2 linked regions of the Lonchura striata genome follow. The protein of the gene in region 2 purifies or fractionates together with the protein of the main gene of each other region. This does not show direct contact. Links are inferred from orthologs where the notes say so. Each region holds a gene or a part of one and is shown on either strand. Other genes may lie near its edges.

What was found. Proteins that work in one complex are often made in the same cells at the same time.
Region 1: the proteins of KATNA1 (region 2) and KATNBL1 purify together in Homo sapiens (affinity purification with mass spectrometry; 3 studies listed by BioGRID and IntAct, counting the BioPlex papers as one, with this or other methods). This does not show direct contact. The link is inferred for Lonchura striata from reciprocal best matches to the Homo sapiens genes KATNA1 and KATNBL1.

Annotation. Positions count from the first base shown.
Region 1 is NC_134608.1:31,725,670-31,732,906, forward strand, and holds the start of KATNBL1 (KATNB1-like protein 1), read right to left. Parts: upstream 3,021-7,237; 5' UTR 2,915-3,020; intron 1-2,914.
Region 2 is NC_134605.1:57,553,413-57,560,298, forward strand, and holds the start of KATNA1 (katanin p60 ATPase-containing subunit A1), read left to right. Parts: upstream 1-3,880; 5' UTR 3,881-3,981; intron 3,982-5,135; exon of another isoform or gene 5,136-5,738; intron 5,739-6,886. UniProt on the Homo sapiens protein: Catalytic subunit of a complex which severs microtubules in an ATP-dependent manner. Microtubule severing may promote rapid reorganization of cellular microtubule arrays and the release of microtubules from the centrosome following nucleation.

The DNA.
Region 1 (7,237 bases), on a different chromosome or scaffold from region 2:
TCCCCCTTTTATTCTCTTCAATCTCCAGTAAGAAGAAGGACTAAAGTAATAGCAGCCATGTCTCCTGAGCATAAGCTGGTTTGTCCCTACACACAACAGACAGTACCTGTGCGAAGTTTTCTTGATGGTTTTACTGGTATTTTCTATCTCTGATCTCTCCCATATGCAATAAAACTCTTCAGGTCATACCAGAATTAGGCAAAGAAATCAGCACTAACAGGCTTTCAAGTGCATATCTGTCCAAGGCAAGTATTAACAACTCTGCCACTCCCTCCCATGTCCTAAGTTCTGGGCACGGCCCCCAGAGAGGGACAAACTCTTCTTGGCACATTATGTAATCTACATGCATATTAACATAATAAAATTTTCTTACAGAACACAGGCTGCCATACTTTGCATGGCAGTAAGGAAAACCTAAAATAGTTAGATCTCTTAAGTCATCAGCAGTACCTTTTAAAACACACACTCTTCCATCCTATTCCTTGTCCAAATTCTTAATAGCTACTTTTTCCTGCAGCATGCCCCATGCACCAGCCATGGGAAATGCTCCTGTGATATTCCTCCACCCCACAGTAGCCCAACTGCAAGTTCAAGGATGACAATATTAAACTCAAATGAAAAGCCTCATTAATCATTACTCCCAAGGAAGAGAGCACATGCTTTGAAAGCATTCCAAATAGGTATGCATCAGGGTCAACTCATTTAACTGGCCATTATCAGATCTACAATGGTCACAAGAAACTTCCAAGAATGGTTATTTCAAATTTATTTCCAAAAGGGTAATTTGCTTACAACAATAAAATAGCACTATCTTATGACGTAGAAGTGATTTTGCAAGCTTGGCATAACTTCCTTTCATTTTAGCTCTGATAAATGTTACAGAATCCATGTGTCTTTGTGTTTTAGAAGGCTTCCACATCCTTTGCATAGGAAACAGTTTGTTTTTTTTCTAATTCCTTTTTTAGTAATTGATGTACTCACCAGCTGTTAAAATTGAGTTTTCTTAAAAAGAGGAAGTGGCATTCAGATTTTAAGGAGTATGTTAATGCAAAACTTTTCTGCAACATTATAAATAGTGGTATATGCCAGCAGAATACAGTTTTTTAATGTGCTACACTTGTCAGGGCATTTGTTCCAGATGTTGGTAAAAACTACAGGAATTTCTCTAAATTTGCAGTAAATAAAAATACTATTTGAACAACTAATTATGGTAAATTAGCTTATACCTAAGATTTAAGTTCATTTTCCTCTTACATATGAAATTTGTATGTGGCCCACTGTTAGTCATAATGAACCTTCAAAGATAACCACAAGTCACAGCTCATCCAAGTTTAGTGAGGATGAACCCAGGTGTGCATTAGCTTTCATTGTGGAAATAGCCCAGGAGTCTAATAACTGAACCTTACTTACATTTTCTACAAAAAAAAAGTAAAGAACTCAGTTTTCTGCATCTGGAGGTACCATTTAGAGGTATGTAAAGGTGCCATAAAGTAACAGCAGCTCTCAGTGGTTAAGTCCTTTCTGAAGTCATCTTTCACTAACGAAAAGATACTTCTACCTGTTGATCTTTACTTATGAACACTCTGGTGACAATAAGCTTGAAAAAGTTTTATAACTGAGAGATGTTAAAAAGCTTTTATAAACATTATAAAAGAAATACATTTCCACAACACTAAAGCTTCCACATTAACGTCTTACACAACTCTTTAAGAAACTACCCATGAAATTAAATACAGCAATTTCTTCTACCATTTACTGCTCAACCCAAGGAGTTTTAAAAAACTGCAACAAGAATGTTGAACTCAAACCCAGAGACAGACATACTGACAAACCCCTCAAGCTCCAGACTTGGTGGAGGTTAAGGAATTATTCACTACATGCCCACCTGGCTGAACAGTCTGTCACACAATTTTCACATGGCTTTTTATGCTACCCTCAAATACATTCCTATTATTGACTGTAGTCTGTTTACAGCATTTTAAAAAACTTTCTTCATTTATAGTCAAGCTTCTTACCCCAAGACCAACACACAGTAAAAGTGGGTATGAAGTGATGTATATAGATACACGTGGCTGTAAGAATATATGTGTATCAGCATACTGACATACACTTTCTAATATACATACAAAAAATACCTTCATAATGTAATTTTTAACATAATGAAATTCTGAGTTTTAAAGTTTAGGAATTCAAATCAATTCTAATTTTAGTTCAAGAATGTCTTCTTTCCTATCAGCAAGGCCAAAGAGGCACAAACTTGCCTTCTGTTAAGAGATGGACGAAAGCTGCTTTTAAATAAACAGACTTAACCTTTCTCCAAAGCAGAGCATGTTACAAAAACAGAAACAAAAGATTTCCAAGATCATCACGTAATCGCTCCTTAAGAGAGCTCTCTATACATAACATCTTTATTTTAAACCTGCATGCAAAACTATCCAGCCCAACGCTGAAAAAATAATTTGAAGCCTTTTGAACGAAGTAATTAATGCAGGATCTGATCTTCAAGCACATAAGGTCCCCCCTCACCCCCCCCCCCCCGTCGTAACCCTGGAATCTGTCACACCCAAGAAATTAAATCCGTCAGCAGGCCTCACACCCAGCTTGTTGTCCTCCCTGTCGGCAGCACCAGAGCCTTCCCCGCTCTCCTGGCACGGCCCCGCCACTGCACGCGCCTGCTTCCAGCTGGGGCTGCCGGCACCATCTTGGAGAGGCGCCCAGCGCCAGAGCTCGCTGTCCGGAGCCGGCGGGCACCGCGCACCGCGGGCTCGGAGCGATCCGCGCCCGCGCACTGCCCGCGGCCCCCGCCGCCGGCCCGCCCGCCCGGCGCGACGCCGCGGAGCCGCGCCCGGTCCCGGCGGGGCAGAGCGCGGCCCCGCCGCGCTGCCGTGGCTGCGGCCGGCCCCGCGGCACTCACCCGCTGCTCATGTTCGGGGCCGGGCCGGGCGGAGGAGCGGCGGGAGCGCTACTGCCGGGGCCCGGCGCCCCGAGCCTGCGCCATTCAAACGCCGCCGCGGTGCACGCCGGGCCGCGCGCGCCGCGCCACGCCCCGCCACGCGCGCCGCGCGGCATCGCGGCGCCCCCTGCCGGCCGCGGCCTCGCGCCGCGCCCCGCCCCGCCCCGCCCCTCCGCGCCGCGCGCTGCTGCGTCACTGCGCGCGGGGAACGCCGGAGAGCCCCGGCATGGAGCGGCCGGGAGGGAGCCGGGGAACGCCGGAGAGCCCCGGCATGGAGCGGCCGGGAGGGAGCCGGGGAGCGCCGGAGAGCCCCGGCATGGAGCGGCCGGGAGGGAGCCGGGGAACGCCGGAGAGCCCCGGCATGGAGCGGCCGGGAGGGAGCCGGGGAACGCCGGAGAGCCCCGGCATGGAGCGGCCGGGAGGGAGCCGGGGAGCGCCGGAGAGCCCCGGCATGGAGCGGCCGGGAGGGAGCCGGGGAACGCCGGAGAGCCCCGGCATGGAGCGGCCGGGAGGGAGCCGGGGAACGCCGGAGAGCCCCGGCATGGAGCGGCCGGGAGGGAGCCGGGGAACGCCGGAGAGCCCCGGCATGGAGCGGCCGGGAGGGAGCCGGGGAACGCCGGAGAGCCCCGGCATGGAGCGGCCGGGAGGGAGCCGGGGAACGCCGGAGAGCCCCGGCATGGAGCGGCCGGGAGGGAGCCGGGGAACGCCGGAGAGCCCCGGCATGGAGCGGCCGGGAGGGAGCCGGGGAACGCCGGAGAGCCCCGGCATGGAGCGGCCGGGAGGGAGCCGGGGAACGCCGGAGAGCCCCGGCATGGAGCGGCCGGGAGGGAGCCGGGGAACGCCGGAGAGCCCCGGCATGGAGCGGCCGGGAGGGAGCAGGGGGATGCCGGAGAGCCCCGGGATGGAGCGGCCGGGAGGGAGCCGGGGAATGCCGGAGAGCCCCGGCATGGAGCGGCCGGGAGGGAGCCGGGGAATGTTGGATGATCCCGGTGATGGAGCGGCCGGGAGGGAGCAGGGGGATGCTGGATGATCCCGGTGATGGAGCGGCCGGGAGGGAGCCGGGGAATGCCGGGGAGCCCCGGCACGTAGCAGGCGGGAGGGAGCAGGGGGATGCCCGATGATCCCGGTGGTGGAGCTGGGGGTCCGCGCTCTCTGCCTGTCTGCCGGCCGCCAGTGACGAGCCATGGTTAGGAGTGTGCAATGCCCAGACTGACTGAGAAACCCACGGTAGCTCCACGCTCTGCTGCATTATCACAGAACCACAGAATAAGCTGATTTGGAAGGGCCGCACAGGGATGTCCAAGTCCCACTCGTGCATAGCACCATCCCCAAGAGTCACAGCATGTCCTCGAGAGCACTGCACTCTGCCAGGCTGTGCTGTTCCAGTGCTTAAACACCCTTTGGATGATAAACCTTTTCCTAATTCCAACCTAAGTCTCCCCTGACACAACTTCAGGACATTATCTTGGATCCTGTTACTGGTCACCGCAGAGAAGAGATTGGTGACCCCTCCAATTCCCCTGAACAAGAAAGTTGTAGACTGCAATGAGATTTCCCCTCAGTGACCTCGGCCACTCCTCATATGGCTTCCTTTCAAAACCTTTCACCATCTTCATTGCCCTACTTTGGATGCTTTCCAATAGCTTAATAACATCTTACACTGTGGTACCCAAAACTGCCCCCAGCACTGGAGGTGAGGCTGCCCCCAGTGCAGAGCAGAGCAGAGCAGAGGGGACAGTCCCCTCCCTTGCCCAGCTGTGATGCTGTGCCTGATGCACCTCAGGACACAGGTGGCCCTCCTGGCTGCCAGGGCGCTGCTGACTCTGTTCAACTTGCCACAAACCAGGACCTACAGGTCCCTTTCTGTGGTGCTGCTTCCCAGCCTCTCGTTCCCCATTCTGTCCATACATCGAGGGCTGCCCATCCCAGGTGCAGAATCCAGCATTGTCGCTTGTTGAAGTTCATATAATTGGTGATTGTCCAGCCCTCTGAGATGGTGTCTCTGCAGGGCATCCCTGCCTTTGAGGGAGCCAACAACTCCTCCCAGTTTTGTATTATCTGCAAATTTGTTTAGTATCCCTTCTAGTCCACAAAGGGCTCAAATTTTGTAATGAAAATATAATTTCTGTCAAGGTCCCATTTGTGTTTTCAGAAGCACACAAGTTGTACTCTGGCTACTCAGCAATGACTGTGGACCATCTAGCCGCTAATACTGACAGGTTCATTATGGTTATCCTAGGGGTCAGCTGTAGTAAGTTCCATTAAAAATTCCCACTTCTTTTATGTATTTTTCTTTGATTTTGTTTTTGATAAGCATACTTTCAGTTGTTTTAAATTTGTATGTGGATCTTGAAAAACAGTTCCCTTAGCTAAATAGTCTTATACCTTTTCTGAATATATTCCTTAGCCTATTTTCCTTTAACTTACTTTTTTTCTCCCGTCTTTTCCAAATTAAAGAAAAAATTAAAGTTTCTTTTATATTTTTGGTTTGGTTTTGTTTTTTTGGGGTTTTTTTGTGGTTTTTGTTTTGTTTTGTTTTGTTTTTTGCTTTTTAAATTTAAACAGTTGATTAATTTTTTAATATTTAAATTTTTTTGCAAGACCTAATTGTATATTTTCAAGTAAAATAATTACACATGACAGATTCCAGTTTTTGTAGTCTATCTTAGAACAATGCTTTTTACTACTTACTGTGACACTAAGTGTGATGTGGTAGGATGGCTATGGACAAAAGATGGAGTAATTTTAGTCATTAGAAACATCATGATTGTGAATGGATTAAGCAGGTTATCATGAGAAAAGCTGACCAAGAAGTTTTATATATACACACTGCACACATTTCTGTAGCTGCCCTAAGTGAAGCTGTACGAAACATGAAGGGAGGAATGAACAGTAAGATAGCAGCAAGGAGCTTTGCTTGTCCGTTCCCCTCTCTCAAGGGCAGCTCTTTTGCAGTTCCTTCCATGGCTCCCCTGTAAATGAGTTCTTTGTGCATGGCCTGACAGATTTGAACAGTCCAGTCTTCCAGATGGGTGAAGGAGTCTAACTAGATGTCCTGGTAATTATGGTAATTATAGTGGGACAGGATTTTATAAGATCATGATATGTAATCTCAATCACGTTTTTCTGCAGGAGTGAAAGAATATAGATTCAAATATATCCAGGTCTAACATGGAAATGTACACTTATTTATATTCAAAAATTACTTACTGGCTCCTTCCTCTTGTATTCTCATATTTTCAACCTTCATACTGGTACTTACTTGCATTTTTAAAGAATTCTAGTGATTACATCTGGTTATAGAGAAGTTCAGAAATTCTGTAAGTTTTTTCCCTAGCAGTTATCTTGAACTCTAAATTATATGTTTTATGTCATCTTCACAAATGTAAAAGTAGCTTCTCTGACAATTTATAGTGTATAACATAAATTTTGATAGCAATTGTGGATGCAATACAGAAATCTATTGTGTACTAATTAAAAGCTTGAATGCAGCAGAGCAAAGTACTTGTGCAGAAGGCAAAGAAAATGAGGATATAGGATGAATAATAAATTCACTAAAACTGGTTCTTCTGTTCTGAGCTGATTAAGGTGTTCTGACTGTGTAGTGTTAATACCAGTAATGTGACTCTTTTCCTGAAACCTGCAAAAGGGAATTCTATAATGATATTTTTTTCTTATGATGCCTACTCCATTTATTTCCAGATTGCATTTCTCACAAACAGCCTACTTGGTTTTTCTATTTCTCCTGACATTTTTTCTGCAATAAACTTTTCCTTCCAGATGTTGCATAAGTAGTACTATCCAAATTGATGCAGTAATTTTACCAGCCTGGCTTCTTTTTCATTCCTCCTTAGGCAGAATTTAAAGTCAATAAAATGCACTGACATTTGTGGACCTTCTCCCAGATCTGCCTGGGCTGTGCAGTGGATGGGAGATTTGAGGGGGCGGTAGTTACTCCAAGACTATTAACTGTTTAATCCTTAGCCCTCAGGTTGGAGACAGGATGGCTCAGGCAATTGGTAATGGGATAAAGCTTTTCACCTCTGAATTGCCAGCTCTGGGCCAGAATAGTAGGACAGGTTATTTCCACCATCTGGTGTCTGGTCAGCGACCCATATGAGGGAAATCAGTAGCCATCCCTGCTACTGGCGAATAGCTTTACAATTAACCCCCCTCGCCCCCCAACGCTTACTGTGAGAACGATTGCGCCACAGACAGCTCCAAATGAGCACGAGGGCTAAAAATCCCTCTAGAAACGTGACGACCAGGACTCAGCACACTGAA
Region 2 (6,886 bases):
TGAAGCATTTATAATGGTTAGAAGATGGTTATGAGAAGTTTTCTCAAAGAAGTTGTTAGTTGCTTACTATAACGAAAATGAGTTTGCAGCTTAATAAAACAGTCCTGTTCTGCCTTTCCCACAGCTGTTGAAATAGAGTAGCTTTTAAGATTAATTTCATTTAGCTTAATTATTATAAAATGGTTGCAGTGCATAACTACTCCATTTTATATATTATGTAAAAAAGATTGCTTTTCATGTAAATAAACTTTAAAGATTATCCTCCTTCTTAGTAAGTATCCCAGTAAAACTGGTCTACTTGTCTTGGAGCAAAGTATAATATATTGCTGGTTAAAGGTAATTTAATCAAGCCTCTGCTTCACCATTTTTGAAGTGTGCAGAGAAAATAATGTCAATTCATTAAATTGACTCTTAAAATTGCCTTTTCATCTGAGTATATTTCTCCTCTGCCTGCACTATAGTATACGATGGTGTATTCCTGTTTAATACTATTACTGATCCTAGGCAATTTAAAAATAATTCTAAAAAAGAATAAATAAGTGTCCTGTAAAGGCACCATTGGTCTAAAAAGAAAAACCAATTGCTTTTATTAAAGGAAATTATTGATTGTTTTAAGGACATGCGCAGGTACTGAAATACTAAATACTCTTTTGCCTTTTTTAAACAAATACAGGAAGTGCTCATAACTTTAGAATTTGGTAGATGCTTCTGGCATTTTCTAATATCATGTGTTAGAAGTTCCTTGTTTGCATTTTGCCACCTGTATGCTGCAGTGTTACGTGTTTCCTTGCAAGAAGTTACAGTCCGGGTTCTTCTCTGAGAAAGTTAGTTACACATGAATGTTGTCACAACTCTCCAGCATGCTCTGCTTTACCTATGTTTTGAAACTTGACATAGATTCAGAGTCTGTTGAGATTCTTCATATTTGCTGCTTAAAACATGGGTGTTTCACTGGTGACCTACAATGGGGATTGGTTTATACAGGCAGTGGAGAAGAGAGGCTCCTAGCCAGCAGTTGTGGAGTTCTGCAGTAAGTTTTAGTTCAGGTTACCTTTACTTTGTAAAGCATGAAAACAAGTTTCTCTTTTATGTGTCCTTGTATACATATTAATTGTATTTATAAAATGTTCTATAATCCTATAACTTGTACTGTAAATAGTATATGATATTCAGTGGCATTCTATCCTCGGGCAGGCCCTCTTGCTGTATCTTTTCTATTTTCAATTTGTAATAGAATCTATAGAATTTTTGTCTTAGAAAGTCTCTTTGAGACTGATGTATCTTCCGCTGGTGCAAAAACTGTGAGTGGGAATGATTTATTTAGACTCCTTTTAATATTATTCAGCTGATAGGCAGTGCAGTGGGTGGGTTCTTAGATTATGCTGCTGTCACTGAAGATACTATTAGGCTTTTGTTTCAGATGTTGTGGGTGTTTCAGATCAGAACTTAAAATCTGTTTGCTTTATTTCAGCCAAAGCAAAAAAGATAATGAATTGGGTCAATGTCATACTAAAATGTTTTGAATGCCTTAAGATGGTCATGATAAAGGCACTATTCAAGTTTACTGATTTATATATATCTATATAGATATATATAGACATATTCTGTGTGTATATGTATATATAATGTCCTTTTTGTATTATAAGACTGTCAGTTCTTTGGAGTCTTCTATTAAATACATAGACCATCCCACAATTCTGCTTAAGCGGATCATTCATTTATTCTGTGTCTAGCTAGTAAACTTAACAATTTTGCATTATCTCATGGCCATAGTAAGTTATTCACCAATTTTTTTGCGTGTTCTTTACTTGTCTCGATCATGACTGGGCATCCTGTTTTGCCAGGTCTCTGCATTCCTGCAATCCAGCTACATGTGTGCCATGCAATCTCTGAATGTGCATTGGCACACTTGCGTCTTTGGGGCTTATGGGGTGGTGGCTTGGACTGTGATCTCCAAGACTCCTGGTGTTCATGTGAAAAGAATGTGCATATTTGCTGACTTTTCCAGTAGGTACACTGGAGCATCCATCCCCTCCATCCAGGACTGCCAGGTTTCCAGTTTGTCAGTGCCCAGCAGTTGAGCAGTGGAGGCTTTCTTGCCCCTTTTGACTGAACACACAGCATTGTGTGTTTGACCTGGGGCATGGGATGCGAGTGGTTGCACTGACACCTTCTTAAAAGCTATTTAGAATAAGAGAAAGAATTCCAGCTCTCATGAGCAGCCTAACTGAATTATCAGCTACTGGTAGTCAGTGGCATTCTGAGTTATAGAAATTGTTCTCAGAATCGGTTTCTGTAGTGTAACACTTCATGGGATAATAGACACCACACTGGACCTTTATAAGAAGTGAAAATCACATTCTTATTTTGGCTATTCAGACATAAAATGTAAACATTAGTTGCCTAATTACATTTATTTTTCTGTCCTCCTTCACATCCCTCTTCAAGTTCTGTTTATGCTGCAGCAGTTCTACTGTTTAACATTAAAATGGCACACATGTAACAGCAGGAATGCTGTTGTATTTGGCTGTCACCTCATGTTTGTAACCTGTTCTGTATACATGTTGATTTTCAAGAGATCAATTTGTTGGTATTCTTTCTGTGTCCTCTGCTGCCTCTTTCATCAAAATAAGTAAATCTTACGAATCACTGTTACTATTTTTTATTATTATGCATACATTATGGACCATGAAGCTGTTCCTTAAGAAGACAATGTATCACAATTTTCATCTGTGTTTGTGAAAATCCCCTTCTTGAAGTGCACATCTCAAAGTGCTAATGCAGAAACTAATGTGTTATTGGAGAGACTGAGTTATATCCTGATTCTGCTATACTTGTGGAGGAGTCTGTGGAAGTACAGTACATTTTTTATTCATTAGCCCACCTACAAAGGGGAGACAGAAAATTCCTCCAGCTCTCATCAACCAAGTGATGTGATACACTTTAAATTTTAGAAACTCATCAGCAGCTGTGTCTTGATAGCTGAAGTAATGTAGGAATGGTTGTTTTAAACGTAGACATTTGTTAGAAATGGGAGACTAAAACTGCCAGTTTAAGAATGGGTAGAAATAGAATAACAAGACGAGTAAGAATGGATGTGATATAGTTAATTAAAGGATGACATACTGCTGTGGGGGTTTGGAATTGACCCTGAAGGACTATAATAAACCTCCTGCATTGTGCTCAACCTTTAGATCCTCTTTGTTGCTAAGCAGCTGAGTCTCTTTAGACAGGTGACGAGGTACTGCTCCATCAAGGATACTTAAGGGCAGTTTCCTGGGCTGACTCCACTCGCTCGGCAGCAGGTTTTCCTCAGCACTCTTAGACACGTTTTCTTCCCCAGAATAACACCATCTGTGAAAGTTTGAAGGAGTGCAGACAAGTCACAAGCAAAGAACATGTGCTTGCTTGCTGTTCACTTGGCGAAACTCACATTTGGGAGTTACGGAAAGGAAATAGCTAAAGGGAAGCAAGCCATCGGCCACCAGGGCGGGATCTCGAGTGCGGTGGGGAAGGAAACGTGTGTTCGTCACCTTCGAGTCACGAAGGCAGGGAGCGCTCCTCGCACAAGCATTGGTGGTTCAGTGGTAGAATTCTCGCCTGCCACGCGGGAGGCCCGGGTTCGATTCCCGGCCAATGCAACTGCCCTTTTCTCGTCTCTTTTTCTTTCTTGTTTTTTTTCCCCGTTACTCTTTAAAATTTAAAAACAAAACAACCCTTCGCTCTTAGTTATAACGCTCAAACGTAAACCAACTGCTCGTCGGTCCGGCTGGGTGGGCCTTCTCCCCGTCCTCCCAGGCTGGAAGTGACGCAGCCGGATTTGCCTTCAAAAATTGCCGGCGGCGGCGGCGGGAGGTGGAGGGCAGGGCCGGGGCGGGGCCAGCGGCGCTGCGGGAGGAAGGGGGCGGAAGAAGCGGAGGGGTCGTGGCTGGTGCCGCCGTGAGCTGCTGCCGCCGCCGCGGGAGCGAGCTCCGGAGAGGAGTAAGTGACGGGAGGGGCCCGGGGTCCGGCCGGGCCGCAGGGAGCGGCGGGCCCGGGCCGGCGGCGGCCGCGCCCCGCGTGGCGGGGCACCCTGAGGGTTCCCGGGCACGGGCGGCTCCGGCTGCTCTGCCCGCGGCCGGAGGGCGAGGGGCCGCGGGGCTGCTGTGGCGACAGCCGTGACCACGGAGCTCGTTCTGTCGGGGCTGTGCTCACACGTGCTCGGCGCAGCTCTGCCCGGGGCTGCCGCTGCCCGCAGGTGCGGCCGGCGCTCCCGGCCCCGCAGCCCGCCCGGGTGCGCTCCCGGGGCTGCTGGCACCGGCCCGGGCACGGAGCGCTGCTTCCCCGGTCTCCCTTCACCCTCCACCTGTTTTGGCGGTGTGGCGTTTTTTGTTAATGTGCAGTAATCTGCGGCGATGCAAGCTTTCTCTCCAGACAGAAGCTGTCGGCAGCAATTTCAGATACCTATTCAGCCGCGGACCTCACTAAACTTCCAGAGAAATTTGTTAATTTAACATTGATCGCCAAAAAGAATGCCAGCCCCTATGAAGTGGGGAGAAGCCTGTTTAATAAAGCCTTCTGAAAGGCTTAGCCTGGAAAACGTAAAATGACATGCCACCCATGTGTTTCTACCTAGTGATTGATTTTTAAATGTTTTTTATTTTCCACAAACTGCCAGCCATACTTAGGTTTGTGGCTGCTGATGGTTCTAATGCTGTTACTGCTAAATACAGCAAATGCATGAGAACCATTTTGTTTAGTATCCAGTAAGTCTGGCATCTCTCCTTCCCCAGTAATCAACGCAGTCATTTGTTGAGACCAAATGTTGCTGGCCATGGATGTTATGAAGAAGAGTATTAAAGGTGGAAGCAAACTCAGAGGTGATGCAGGCCATTGTGGCATCACTAAAAACTGATTCCTGAAAGCTGTTACTGTGAGGTGTTTTTTTTCTCCTCTGGCTTGCCAAGAGAACTTTGCAAATATTACAGGGTTGCTTTGATGTCAGAGCCGGTATAGCAGGCTGAAATAATGGAAACATGTGCACTCTGCCAAAATTCAGGCTCTGGCTTAGTCCAGACGTTAAGGTTGGAGCAAAGAACTCCTTGAAAGTATTTTCCACATACAGTTCATGCCTTCCAGTCAGCTGGTCTACCACAGTAATTGACACACTATCAGTCAACCTCTTCTTTTATTTTTTAAAGTTTGGGCGTCTTCTTTGTGTTACAGGATTGATGCAGTGTTTCTGGATTCTAACATACGACTCTGAGCAGAAATTACTTACAGTACTTTCCACTGATGATTTCTTGAACTTATTATGGAAAGCTTGAAGTATCCTCAGGGTTTTCTTGATAATGGTTAGGCTGGTATCTTTCAAATGAAGTACAAAAATAAGTTCCAAAACCTCATTCTCACAAGTTGTAGGGATATTGAACCTTTGTTAGGTTCAGCCCTTGCTGGACTTGGCTGTTCTATACTCTAGAAATATTTTAGGTCCTTGGAGCAAATGATAAAATGTATTTTGCAACTAGAGATGGGTTAATTTCGGACAGCCTTAATACTCACAGCTGGTGTGAAAAGTGGTTATTCTTGTGAAGTCTGTGTGTTTGTACACAGTAAAGAATTAAACTTGGAAGACAAAGTCCTTAGGTTATTTTCCTTGTATCCTGTTCACTGTAAACTTTATGAGCTCTTCACTGTTTCAGCAGCTGTTGGAACTTAGATAACTTCACTGGTCATGATTCATGGAAAGGTTGTGGCTAGTAAGTGCAGACCTGCTGCTTTGACATCCTGTTACGTGATAGCACCAAGTATTTGTAAACACATGTGATGTTGCTAAGTATTTGTAAATACTTTAAAAATTAATAAGTAGTGCAGGATTAGTTTTTGAGAGTTTTAATCCCTTCTGGTTTAACTCTGTATTTGTGTGTAGGGAGTTCTCCACCCTGCTGTACTGCCCCAGTATATTGTCACCTCCTGCCACAAACTTCAGTCTGCTTTCAGATTAGTACTCTGACTCTTCTTTTTCCCCCTTAGAGCTTCTTTACCATCTTCACTTACAAGTGCAGCAGACTCATGGACTCATTAGTATATCAGCTCTGACACTGCCTGAAGTTGTGGCAGCAGCAGTGGCATGTCCAGACATAAGCAGAGCCAGCAGCTTTTTCTGCCTCACTTGTACTCAAGAGCCTTATATTTGGAAGCCACTTCAAAAGCTCTTTTGCTCTCATGAGTCAAGATGAGGCAACAAATTAAATTGGTTTTCTAGTTTAAGCCAAATTATCTTGCATTTTCAGTAGCACTGGTGAGACAGGTAGATTCCAATAGTATTATCAGCTCGAGTGAGCACCTTCTTCCTTCTTTTGTTTCTTCCCATGAGTTGCTAGCTTAGTCTGCTTACATGTCTGTTTATTCTTTCTAGCCTTATATTCTCTGCCCTTTCTAACCTGAAAATGTCATTGACTGTTTTTATTATGTGCAGTGCTATCCTTTTGGTCCCAAGCTTTCATACATTTCCGACTTAGCCTCTTTAGTTTTGTTGTTTATTTTTTTTCTAATTCTAGTTATTTTCACATTTCCACATGAAAACTATTCTTATAAACTTTTCTTTTTCTGTGTACATAAAGTTGCTGTTCTGCTTGGATTGCTCTACAGCATTCAGTGAAAAAAGTTACGTATGACTTCTCTCTGTATTTAAAAGTCTAGTTTGATTTTAGTAGCTTGCTATTACTTGATTTTTAAAATGTCTATTAGCATCTTGCTCAACTCGTGATTTCAGTATGTTAGTCATCAGTTTGAATTCTCAGGACAGGCAAACAGGTGTATCTGGTAGGATGAGCAAGAGTGGAAAAGCTCGCTCCTAAATACAGCAGGGAAAACTTTGTTAACATCTGTGTGATGATCCATACAG